2 linked regions of the Drosophila melanogaster genome follow. The protein of the gene in region 2 interacts with the protein of the main gene of each other region in a pairwise test. Each region holds a gene or a part of one and is shown on either strand. Other genes may lie near its edges.

Region 1 (5,472 bases), on a different chromosome or scaffold from region 2:
CTGTCTGAGCTGTCTGGAGGTGAGGATTCAAGGATAATGACTTCATTAATTGCCATCGCTCGGACACGTAGAATATGGTTGGGTAGGCAGATCCCCGAGGATGAGGTGTGAATTTGAGGTAAGTCCGAACGAGGGCAATTACTCCATTTACTTCGTAGTCCCATAGGGACCAACACTCTCTATTCGATGGAATCGAGGGGGCAATTAACACCTTGGTTGGAGTTGTCTTCGCTATTTTGGACGTTCCAAATCATCATCTTGCATTTCGGGAGTTTTCTCTTCTTTTTTTCCGGAAACTATGCGACCCGCTCACAGCTGGATCTGAAGTTCCGAGAGCAGCAATCGGAATCGGTATCTCACCCGGGGCGAGTGTTGAGATCTCCAGCCAGGTCCGTGGAATGCGCAGCTACTAAAAGGCTCTAATGGCCCAGAGGATTTCCCATTTCCCGCTGCGTACGGAAGCGTGTCAAGGCTGCTGAATGGCCAGCGTTTCGAGTGAAAGATCATTGGAGTACGTTGTAAATTAGCATAGATATATTTTTTTATTTAAGAGCACTTGCTACTTAGGCTAATCATCTTAAACTCTAATCCTAAGTCGGTACTATTTTCTAGGCTTACATCTACGAATTGGAACTAATACATATGTTTATTGTTTAGGAGCGAGTCTGTCAGCGGTTTTCCCAAACGGAAAATGTCTGTACTGCTCCACCACAAATAAAATGTTATTTATATTTTCGTCCCCTGCTCTATGGGTATGTACATCTTTGGCGACTTGTACCATGGATCTGGTGACACCTGCTCCTGCTCCTGGAGGAGTAGGTGGTGGATCCGTGTCCCTTTGATTCTAGTACCATGAGGGATAGAACGGCTGTGGCGGCATCGTTGTGTAGTTGACCTTCGAGGGCGAAGGAAAGGCGGCGGCATTGAAGTTCTGGGGCATGAAGTGCGCCGACGAACTGGGCGGCGGATAGTGCGGATGTGCGCCTGCGTACTGCGGATGCGGATGTGCGTGCGGATGCGGCGCATGGGGATGTCCGTGATGCGAATGGGCGTGGCCTGGTGCCGGATAGGATGCATACTGCGGCGTATGCTGATACGGATGGAACATCTGGTGGGCGGTGACATCCAGAGCCTGGCTGGTCGAGCTGGTGGAGTTCAGCGAGTCCTCCGGCGAAAGTGGCGCATTGGGGCGCAGTGCCTGCATGGAGCTCCATCCGCCGTACAACTGCGACTGACTGGCCGCGATCAGGTCCACCGATTCCACTTTCAGGGCAGCCGATAGCTCCTCACTTCCAGCACTGGCATTGGCCAGCGACTGCGAGGGATCGGCTCCCGAGTTGGCCCCACTGGAGGAGGTCACACCAGCTCCACTCACCACCGCGGAAAGGCTGTTGGGTGTGGGTGGCAGTTGCCCGAAGGCGGAGGACACGGACTCGTTGGGGCTCTCGTTGCGTGGCATAGTCTGGTGGGTTTCCGTTTCGGTGCCGTAAACTGAACCCAACTGAGTCTCATAGCTGGAGACGATGATGTTCCCGGTGGGTGTGGTGTTGCCATTCTCACCCGGCATTATGTAGCTGGCTGTGTTAGCGCTGGGATTGTAGAACTGATGGTGGTGCGGTGGCGTGGTTGTAATTCCGGGCGATAGATTACTACTGGCCATTGGAGCTGCGGCGGATACGGAAATGTTGGCGTGACTGCCGTAGAAATCGTATTGCTGCTGGTACACAGTGGCTGGATCCAGGGATCCCGGCATCATGGCCAGCGGAGCCATGCTGGGCACACTTGATACCACACTGGGCAAAGAGCTGGACGCGGCGACATGGCTCACTGAGGCAGCTGCTCCGCCAGGTGCTCCGCCCGAGACCGAGGTGTGCTGCTTGCGGAGACGAGCACGCCGATTGCTGAACCACACCTGAATGCGTGCCTCCGTGAGATTGGTGCGCTGGGCCAGCTCCTCACGGGTGTAGATATCAGGGTATTGGGTGCGCTCGAAGGCGCGTTCCAGTTCGTCCAACTGGGAAGCGGAAAAGGTGGTCCTGCAGCGGCGCTGTTTGCGCTTCAAGGCGATTCCCGGCTCACTTTCACAGTCAGAGATGTCCTCATCGGAGGGCTTGCCGTTGTTGTGATGGCCACCTGAGACATCGGAGCCGCAGGAACTCGATGCTTTGGTGCCATCACCCGCCGGAGATCCAGAGGCAGAAGACATATCATTGTCCAATGGAGCATCTCGGCCGCGCACCAGGCGCGATATGGCGGACACAGATGGTGCTGTGCTCCTGTCGCAGACACCCTCGCGGATCAGCTTCTCCCTGATCTCCCACGAGAACATGCCCGGGCTACTGCGCTTGTACTCCTCAATTCGGTTCTCGATTTCGGGCGTGGCTATCCTCGGCTTGGAGCCACCAATTACGCCTGGTCTAATGGAGCCAGTCTCCTGGTAGCGATTCAGGATCTTCGATACGCAGCCATGGGACACACGTAGCTGTCTGGAGATCACACAGGGCCGAATGCCATCGGCGGCCATCTCGACGATTTTAAGACGAATATTGTTGGGCAAAGGACGACCGTTGATGAAAACTCCACCTAGTTGATTGACGCGCCCCTGGCCGCTGTTCATGTCTGGAATGAGGAAGATGAGAAAATGGAAATTTTAGAGGCTTTTCCAATACTAGCTAGGTAGAGCGGAGCGCGTGTCACTTGATTTACGACACCTTCGACCGGAGTTGACTTCCCGGGAAGACGGGAAACTCGGAGCTAAGGTCGAAGGTCAGAGGCGCGCGACTCTCCCGCCGGGCAACTAATGGCCATTAGAGAGTAGCCGACGGCCTTGGCCCAAACTGAGATCTTTAGCGGGATCTTGAGCCGTCGGTTTAGAAATGAAGATATATGGAAATGATCAACTAGGCTTTGATATTTAGTAAGTACATTGTGAAAGTGACTTATATTCCAAAGTGACTTTTGCTGGATGTTGTATATAAGCGATAGACACTCACCTTGCATGGTAGAATATCCATTGAAGAAGGGTCTGTGCATTGCGGCAGCAAAGGCGGTTACGGTCATAGTTTCTGGAGGAGCTCCAAGATGCGTAAGCTTGTCCCGGCACAAAACCGGTGTTAACTCAGTCTCGAAGTTCGTATATCACTTGATTATATCACTTTAGTTCTGGACAATGTCTGGACACTTTGTCAAAGTCATAAGTAAGCGTTGCGAGGTATTGATTAACCGATTAGTTGCACTTCGAATATCTAAGTATCTGTTAGTTCGCAATCTCGATGGGAAAGATGAAACGGAGGCGAAGGCGAAGACGAGAACGAGGACGAGATGCGGTGTGGCTCGTTGCGCAGTCTGTGCCTGACTGACTTCACCATCCGAACGTCGGCCAAGATCGTTGCCTTTCTGTGAAGCCACGGCCCAGACGTCGGCCATATCCCACAGTCACTTGGCAGGTAACCACTACGCGGACCAATCGCAGCGCTCTCCACAACGGCATCTCGCTCTGGCTCACTCGACCCATTTAGCAACCGTCTCGCTCGCCGCCAGGGGGCGTCTCAGCTGTGAAAAGCACCGTGGAATGGGAGAAGAGCAGAGAACTTTGGATTGGGGGGTATACGAGTACAAGGGAACCACAATACTTCTGCTCCAGATCCTGGGCATTCCATCCATTCAAATCCTATGCATAGTTTCGACTTTCACTGGTTTCCGGAAATTAATTAATGCCGTAAGTAGCACGATACAATTTAAGCGTTACATATCCTTTATGGATACCTTGTTATAAGGATAAGGGAATACTGGACTTGAGAGATCAGTCTGCCTGGCGTTTGCTTTTCACTCTTCACTTGAGATATTCTTTGGGGTTCCACTTGGCCCCGGAAATCAAATTAGATATTCACTGGAACCCATAATGCAATCGAGTACGCGTTTAACACTCTTTACAAGCGTAATATATCCTTTATTGATACCTAATTATGGCTTTCGTTTATATTGCCACTCGAGTAGCCTCTTTTCTCTCAGTTATTTATTGCTTTCGGAAACGGTGAACAAAGTTCTTCATTTCAAATTGTAGGTTTTATTTTAATTATCAGTATATTACATATAAATATAAAAGTGTGTGTTTAGAACTATCTATTGATAGATCATAGTAAATTATTTTCAAACAAAATAAGTGAGATATTAAATATATAACACCATATTGGATGCAGGGAAACATATTCAGTTGAATACAAAATCAGCGACTATTGATCAGTTTATGTTTCCAACTTTCCAATTTAACATTTAACAAAGTGACTTCATCCATATCCTTACCATGACCGCATCCACATCCTTGTCATGCTTTTGCCACCATTATGCTCCGCTGCCTCCGGCTTATAACCATAGTTTCGACCCTTTTCTATGGGCCGTCGTGGGTTTGATTAATTGTAGAATTTCACGCAACAGAGACCCTCGAAAAGAAGTTAAACAAAACCGATGGAAAAGAAAAGAAAGCGCCGAGTGGGATAACAACAAAAACCTGAAAGCCGCGAACAATAGAGAGCGCCAAGTGTTGCAAGAATTAATGATGGACCCCAACCTCCGTTTGAAACGCCAGCGAGGAAATTGACCCACAGAGATGTGACGAATGTGCATGCTCCTCGGCAGGATCCGTATCCAAGTGCCGGAGTGCAAGATCCAGATGAGATGCAGATCAAGGACAACGGAGGCCGCAAGGCAACAAAGGTTGGGTTTCTACTGCTCGGTGCGGCTGCCCGTTGGGCGTTTGGTTAAGCAAACCCAACGGGAGGAGTTCGCAGTACCAGGCACCCAGTATGGAATCGCTACATTTGCGCCTGGCAGGATAGCAAAAATCCCCGATGACCTTGAGCCCATGGCCACGATGGCAGACTAGCAAGTATTCTGTGATAATTAAATTATCCTCAAACATATGTAACTCGAATCAAATGGAGAGGCGCCTCAATCCACCATCGATACCCACCATTCGATTTGATCCTCGTTGATTTCACAATTTGGCAGGACAATGAGCGCTGAATAGGCAACTCATATAACGCTAATTTCGCGCTATCAACGCTTGGAAAAAGGCGATTCTGCTATGGGATCGTCACTTTGGGTAGAGAAAGGTCCTGAATCCTGGCCGAAATGCAGGAAGCAGTAGGAGGCATCGGTGCCATAAACGCTGCAAGTCAGCTTCGCTCGCATTTCCACGAATCGGCCAGCGGGAAAATGAAGACACATCCGTGCAATGAATAAGGATGCTAAGAGACTTTTTATGATGCCACCCAGGGTGCTATGAATGAAAATCCACCTCGCGATCCTCAACTTTCGCCAGCGAATGCTTCGTTTACCTGCGACCCTACTACACATCTCCAAGACTCGAATCTCATCCGATTTGGAGGAACTGCCTCGAGAGGCTCGTGCGCTCAATCGATGCACACAAATAGCTATATAATCGATGAAAACAATGCACACATTGTGCGATTT
Region 2 (6,131 bases):
TGGAGATTCAGTGGCTGCCGCCGCTGCTTCGTTTAGTAAGCTGAAGTCGCGCTCCCTGGAGCCACTAACCGGATTGGCTATGTGGTCGTCCCAACCGCAAATTATCGAGCTGGTCAAGGGCGATCGCGGTCTGGGCTTCTCTATTCTGGATTATCAAGATCCGTTGGATCCCAACGATACGCTGATTGTAATCCGTTCTCTGGTCCCTGGAGGGGTGGCTCAATTGGACGGACGCCTTATACCCGGAGATCGACTTTTGTTTGTGAACTCCATTAACCTGGAGAACGCCTCGCTGGATCAGGCAGTGCAGGCTTTGAAGGGTGCTTCGAAAGGAGTGGTGCGCATTGGTGTGGCCAAACCACTGCCCATGACGGACAACTCACTGAAGGCTTGCAGCAATGCGAGCACCACCAGCGAAGAGACCTTGGACGCCCAGCCATCGCCTCCAGCCTTGCCCACAGTTGCTCCGCCCGCCATGCCGCCTAGTGCCTCCATGGGAGCTGAGCCCGACCTGATTCCCGACTGGCGGAACTAGGGTGTTACGATAACGAAGAATTTCACACATTCCAGGCATTTGAATCTTTAAGCCTGTTTTAAATCAAATCAAACGCGGTTGCTAACTAATGGATTAGTTAATCGATATTTTCTACGAATATGAACAACAGGCAGTAGAATCTGAAACGATGTCAGAAACGATGCCAGAAGTACAGGAGCGATTGTTATTACCGAAGCAAAATGTTATGCATATTATTAACGCCGAATTGTGTTTGTCCCCTGAAAACAAGCATTCCACAAGTATGCAATATATTAAACCCCCTAGTATTAGCAAATGAATTTTAACATGGTATTTCCAGAGTGTATGTACTTAAACTAAATTAAATAATGTACCTTCCGTACGGTCAATGAGTATCACTTGGGGAAGGGAATCGATGATTTGGCGGAGGGCTATTGGACCCGGTTTAGCTGTCGCTCGATTCTCATGTAGTTGCGCCTGGACAGGACTCGATCGCGGGCATAACTGACCAGGTAGCTAAGTAATCCGATTACAAAGCACGAGACCTCAAATTTCAAGAAGTTCATTTGCTCGATGAGCGCCACCCGGTCGCAGCTCCTGGTTACGATCTCGCCGCTCTGGCAGCGCAGCACCTCCTTGTAGTGCGTGTGAATGCAGACGCCCAAGCTCCGGCTGACTATATCGAATTCGGAGCACGGGTGGCACTCCTGCACCATCGTGTACTTCTCATTCCGCCAGCAGGTCGAGTTGTCCTCGATCACGAATTGCGGCTCTCGGCGACGAGGACCATCTGCCGCGTAACGAGATTCCACGAACAGGACGAGTATGGTGACCATCGTTAGGGCTCCTAGTCCAAGGAGCATGTGGTGACGCTGACAGTTCTCGAGCATTGTGAAGGCGGGCAGCTAACTCTTGTATCGGATCAAGTGCTGGAAACAACCTGGAAGAACCTATGCATGCTCAGTAGGTGGATAACTCCAATACATATGGACGGGATTACTCGAAATCCTATTGCTTTGCTTTTCCCCCTATGAAATCAGCTTTACTGTGTGACCAGGCGAGAGTTTTTATTTTTGTTCAGCCGTCTTTGGAACTAGTTCTTGCTTGGCATTTAAGATTATATATTAAAAAAAAATTGAATTTGCACATGCATAGATTTCGTAATTTAGATAAAGCGTTAAATTAAGGGAGAAAATAATATTTTTCGAGGAAATCTTATAAGCCGCGTATTCCGCTCCGATTCGCGGAACTGCAGATGTGTGGCCAGACTTCGGGGAGCTCGAAACTAGTTCGCTGTTTACGAACGACAATAAACGGAGACCAAAACAATTACGGAGGACAAGCACAAAGCGGACTTGAGAAATTTGTGAAAATTTTTATAAATCGCGTGTGTGGGCGCTTTGAAAATGGTGCTGCGATCGGGAATCATAATTCCGTTTCAGTTTCGCGACACGAAGAAGCTGCTGATGATCGGGGTGCCGCAGGAGAACCGCGACCTAAACATATGGGACCTAAAGAACGTGGGTAAGCACTGGTCTGGTCGGAGAGGGGGAGGTGGCTCAAATCACGGAGCCCCCAAGCGATTTGGTCGCCAAAAATGAAATATGTCTAACAAATCCCGCTCCACAGTGCGCGCCGCCTTCGGGATCTACAACTTCGAGTTCCGGAACAAGAAGATCGGCTTCAACATCCCGGACGAACTGCTGCTGCACTATCTGGCCCAGAGGCACGACCTCACCAACTTCGTTATAGAGATCAGTCAAGGTAAATAGCGTTTAAGTTACGGCTAAGTCGCGTTTCAATTAGCGTTTAAGCGTTCGAGTGACTGCGGGCCACCAAAAGTCGCGATTTCGCGGAGTTCCGGAGTTTCACAGTCAAGTCTTGTTTGTAGATCAGTTGTGTTTATGTAGACGATGCGTGCGCTTCGCTTGTAAGTCTCTGCGATTGCCATCTGTAATAAAACCCAAATTGTAAAATGCTCCCTCTTGCAGCTCTGGACGATGGCCACGCCAAGGAGATGCTCTCCTACGAGCCCTCATGCTCGATGGCGGTCCTGAAGCACCACCCTCATCAGCACCAGCACCACGTGCCTCTGCCGCAGCGGTCAAACGAAAGCGCCTCGCACCACGCCCATGAATATGTGCCTGACTCCCAGCCCACCTCTCCGGCCCTACGTATGAGTTCTGAGGCGGTGGACTCGCCACTGGACCAGCAGGGCAACAACTCGGTGCCGGAACGCACGGATAGTTCCCACAAACTGCGCCTGGGGCAGGCTTACTCGGAACGGACGCCGGAATCGATGACCCAGGCCATTGACCCCATGGATATTATACCCAAGTCGGAGTCCGAATCGGAGGTGGAACGTCTGCAGCGGGCCTCCAGATTCCTAGCGCGCCAGGAACAGCACCAAGCCCAGCAGCAACAGCACCAGCAGCAGTTGCTGCCCGGTCAGCAGATCTTCCCCAGCTACACGCATCCTTTGCCGTCGATGAATGCACCAAATACCTCCCAACAGTCGCCTTACACACCGGGTCTGATGAGTCGCTTTAGAAGTGAGAGAAGTGCTTGCAAAAGTCTGAAATCCGAACTAAATCCTTAATAATTCTCTTAAAGAACGCGGCGAACGCATGTCCAAGGACCAAAAGGAGCTGTACGTTAAGTTTTTCGAGGACAATCCATGCATGCTATCAAACCACCGCCGGCACGATGGCCTCACTGAACCATTGTGGGCAAAATTGGCCCACATGCTGAATAGTGTTCCCCAAGGCGCCGTAAAGAACGTAGAGGACTGGAAGCAGACCTTTGACGCCTGGCGGTACCGCATCTTCATGTACACACGCTACAACTCCAAGCTCAGCATGTCGGAAACGACCGATCCGAAGAACTTCAAGCCCCTGACAGCTACCGACCAGAAGGCGTATGCCATGTGGACCAGCCACAAGCACATAACGCCGCAGGACTACGAAAAAATGGACATGTTCGTGCCGCTGGACGAGACCACCACGGCAACGAACACCTACGACTACTAAATCGAGATCAAAGTGCAAAATATAAAACTGTTAATGTGTACTTTAACTATTGCTAAGAAATAGAATACTTTTTAAGAGAAAGAAACCGCGTTTTTTATGTTAGATAAGATAAGACATGAAATATGCAATTTCAAATTATACTATCTACTAACTACAATCCATAATTATTTATTGCAGTCTACGATGTCGGCCTGGACAACTATGTGCTGAATCGCCAGTGCCGCTGTACAGACCAGAAAATGCTCAACGATTCGCCAACGCCCGAGGAACCAACCAATTTGTGCCAGCCCAGCAATGTGCTAGAGGCCGCGCCGACTCCGCTCATGTCGCTGCCACCCTGCGAGGACGAGGATCACGAGCCTGAGCATGAGCACGAGCACGAGGAGAGCATGAAGTATCGGATCGATAAGGAGAGCAGTGGAGCTGCCTCCGCAGAGCTGGGCTTGCCCGCCTACGAGGCCTGCTCGCCCAAGATGGACTACGACACGCAGGACGAGCTGCCGGACTCGCCGCACTCGCAGCCGCTGCCACCACCGCCTTTCCCATTGTCCACGGCCTTGCCGCTGCCGCCTCCGCCCACCTCGCATCACCAACATCTGCAACAGCAGCAGCAGCAGCAGCATGAGGTGTGTTTGACCATGTCCGGCATGTGTAACGCTTTTGTGTTATATACTTTTGGACCTGCCTTATTATTTCAGGAGCGCATCCAGCAAGAGTACATCATCCAGCAGCAGCAGCAACATCAGCAGATTCAGCAGCAACAACACCACCTGGCTCTCCTGCAGCAGCAGCAGCAGCAGGAGCAACAGCAGCAGATTCAGCAGCACCAGGGAGTCAACATAGCCATAGGCACCACTGCGACAAACAACATTCGACGTAAGTTACTCTCTTGAATTATTACCCCGATCCAATTAGTCAATTGTGTTATTGTTTATAAGAAACTACCAAGCACCATTGAATCTAATTTTAAAGATTAATAAAATGTTCGAGATGTGGCGATATAAATATTTTACTACGGCGATTAAGTTTTGGAAATGTTTCTAATTTGTCCGCAATGTCAGCAAACCACATTCCAAATCTTATCTTTAGATGACTTTATTCTCCTATTTACTTCTTCAATTTACTGCCCAGTTGCTGCATTGTTTCAATGTACAGACAGAAATATTAAAAATTATATTACATCAACTTAATTTTATGAAGAAATATATTTAAATAATATAATTGCCGTTTTCCATTAGGGCTGCATTCGCGATGTTCATAAACAAAGCGCACACCAATTGAGCGCATTCCAATGTTATCAGGTGTATTAATTTGCATTAATTAATAAATTTTAAAATTATTTAGCCGATTACGGAACAATGGTGTTAATGAGTTAATGGTGTTCATCTGTTTCTCGTCCGCAGAGCGCAAGGAGCGCATGTCCAAGCGGCAGAAGGAACTGTACGTACACTTCCTGCAGCAGCACCAGTTCATCAACGATCACCGTCGCAATGATCCTGCGCTGGACCCATACTGGCTGAAGCTGGCCAACCTGCTGAACGCCGTGCCGCAGGGTGCCGTGAAGCACGTGACCGAGTGGAAGCAGACCTTCGACAACTGGCGATACCGGATCTTCCTTTACGCGCGCTACAACTCTAAGCTGCAGGACGAGGAGGCGCAGAATCCGCGAAACTTCAAGCCGCTGACCCGGACCGACAAACAGGCCTACATCATGTGGATCCGGAACCCGGACACCGCGCCGCCCGACCTGGACAAGATGCGCAATGTCTTCTGCAATCTGGAGGAGTCGGCGGTGCAGCAGGAGTAGATAGCCGTACATCCGTCGTAGCTCTAACATTTCAAATCTTCTTTGTCCTCTTTTCAATGGTTTCTATCGTGTTAGTCGTGCGTATGTGTGTCGCTGTTTTTTTTCCCTTTGGGGAATGCATTTTTCTTTTAGTTTGTTGTCATTGTTATGCCTTTTTGAATATTAAACATGTGTTTTCTGAATGAATCGCTAATTTTAGTCGGAAATATGCGCGCGGATATATTTAGCCACTGGCCGAGCAGGTCGTTTGCCCCTGCTGGTGTTTGGCATATACTAAACTCAAGTTCTGAACTGGATATGGAAAGACATGGAATGACAATGAGTGCGTAGATTGCTTAGCTCAGTTCGCAGTTCTGGCAAGGATGTCGAATTCGACCACTTGGCCTTGAAGGCGTTGATTTGAGTGGCTTCAAACAAGCCAGCGAACAAACAAACAAACTCCTTTCAGAACCAGCTCCACTCGTGTGGCTCCGTATCTCCATCTGGGCACCCACGCCCGTTTCGTCTACCGGTGCTGATTAATTCGCTGCCCGCGGCGGTACAGCATCCATCCAGCGGGGCCTGTTGTACTTGTCGCTAATCCCCGGCCATTAATTATCCGTTCAATCATGTTCGATTCGCTCGATGCCGCCATTCAATCGCCACTTGGCAGCTTGGCGGGGATTATTTTTATTGCCAAGTCCCGATAATAATTCCTTCTTTCGCCGATCTGCGAATTAGTTCCAGTGTTTCTTGAACCTGAAACTGAAAAAGGGAGCCCCACCGATTAGCATATTGTTAA

The links.
Region 1: the proteins of CG42676 (region 2) and prd interact in a two-hybrid assay, tested with the Drosophila melanogaster proteins (one large-scale study listed by BioGRID).

What each region holds. Positions count from the first base shown.
Region 1 is NT_033779.5:12,082,470-12,087,941, forward strand, and holds prd (paired), read right to left. Parts: upstream 3,359-5,472; 5' UTR 3,061-3,358; coding exon 2,994-3,060; intron 2,910-2,993; exon of another isoform or gene 2,674-2,909; intron 2,620-2,673; coding exon 845-2,619; 3' UTR 526-844; downstream 1-525. UniProt on the Drosophila melanogaster protein: Pair-rule protein expressed in a segmentally repeating pattern to define the polarity of embryonic segments. Capable of sequence-specific DNA-binding.
Region 2 is NT_037436.4:1,801,290-1,807,420, forward strand, and holds CG42676 (uncharacterized protein), read left to right. Parts: upstream 1-1,817; 5' UTR 1,818-1,920; coding exon 1,921-2,038; intron 2,039-2,143; coding exon 2,144-2,278; coding exon of another isoform or gene 2,279-2,286; exon of another isoform or gene 2,287-2,444; intron 2,445-2,505; coding exon of another isoform or gene 2,506-3,066; intron 3,067-3,127; coding exon of another isoform or gene 3,128-3,543; exon of another isoform or gene 3,544-3,621; intron 3,622-3,720; coding exon 3,721-4,169; intron 4,170-4,241; coding exon 4,242-4,419; intron 4,420-4,753; exon of another isoform or gene 4,754-4,946; coding exon 4,947-5,350; 3' UTR 5,351-5,631; downstream 5,632-6,131. Other genes in the region: patj, read left to right, coding at 1-535; JTBR, read right to left, coding at 946-1,404.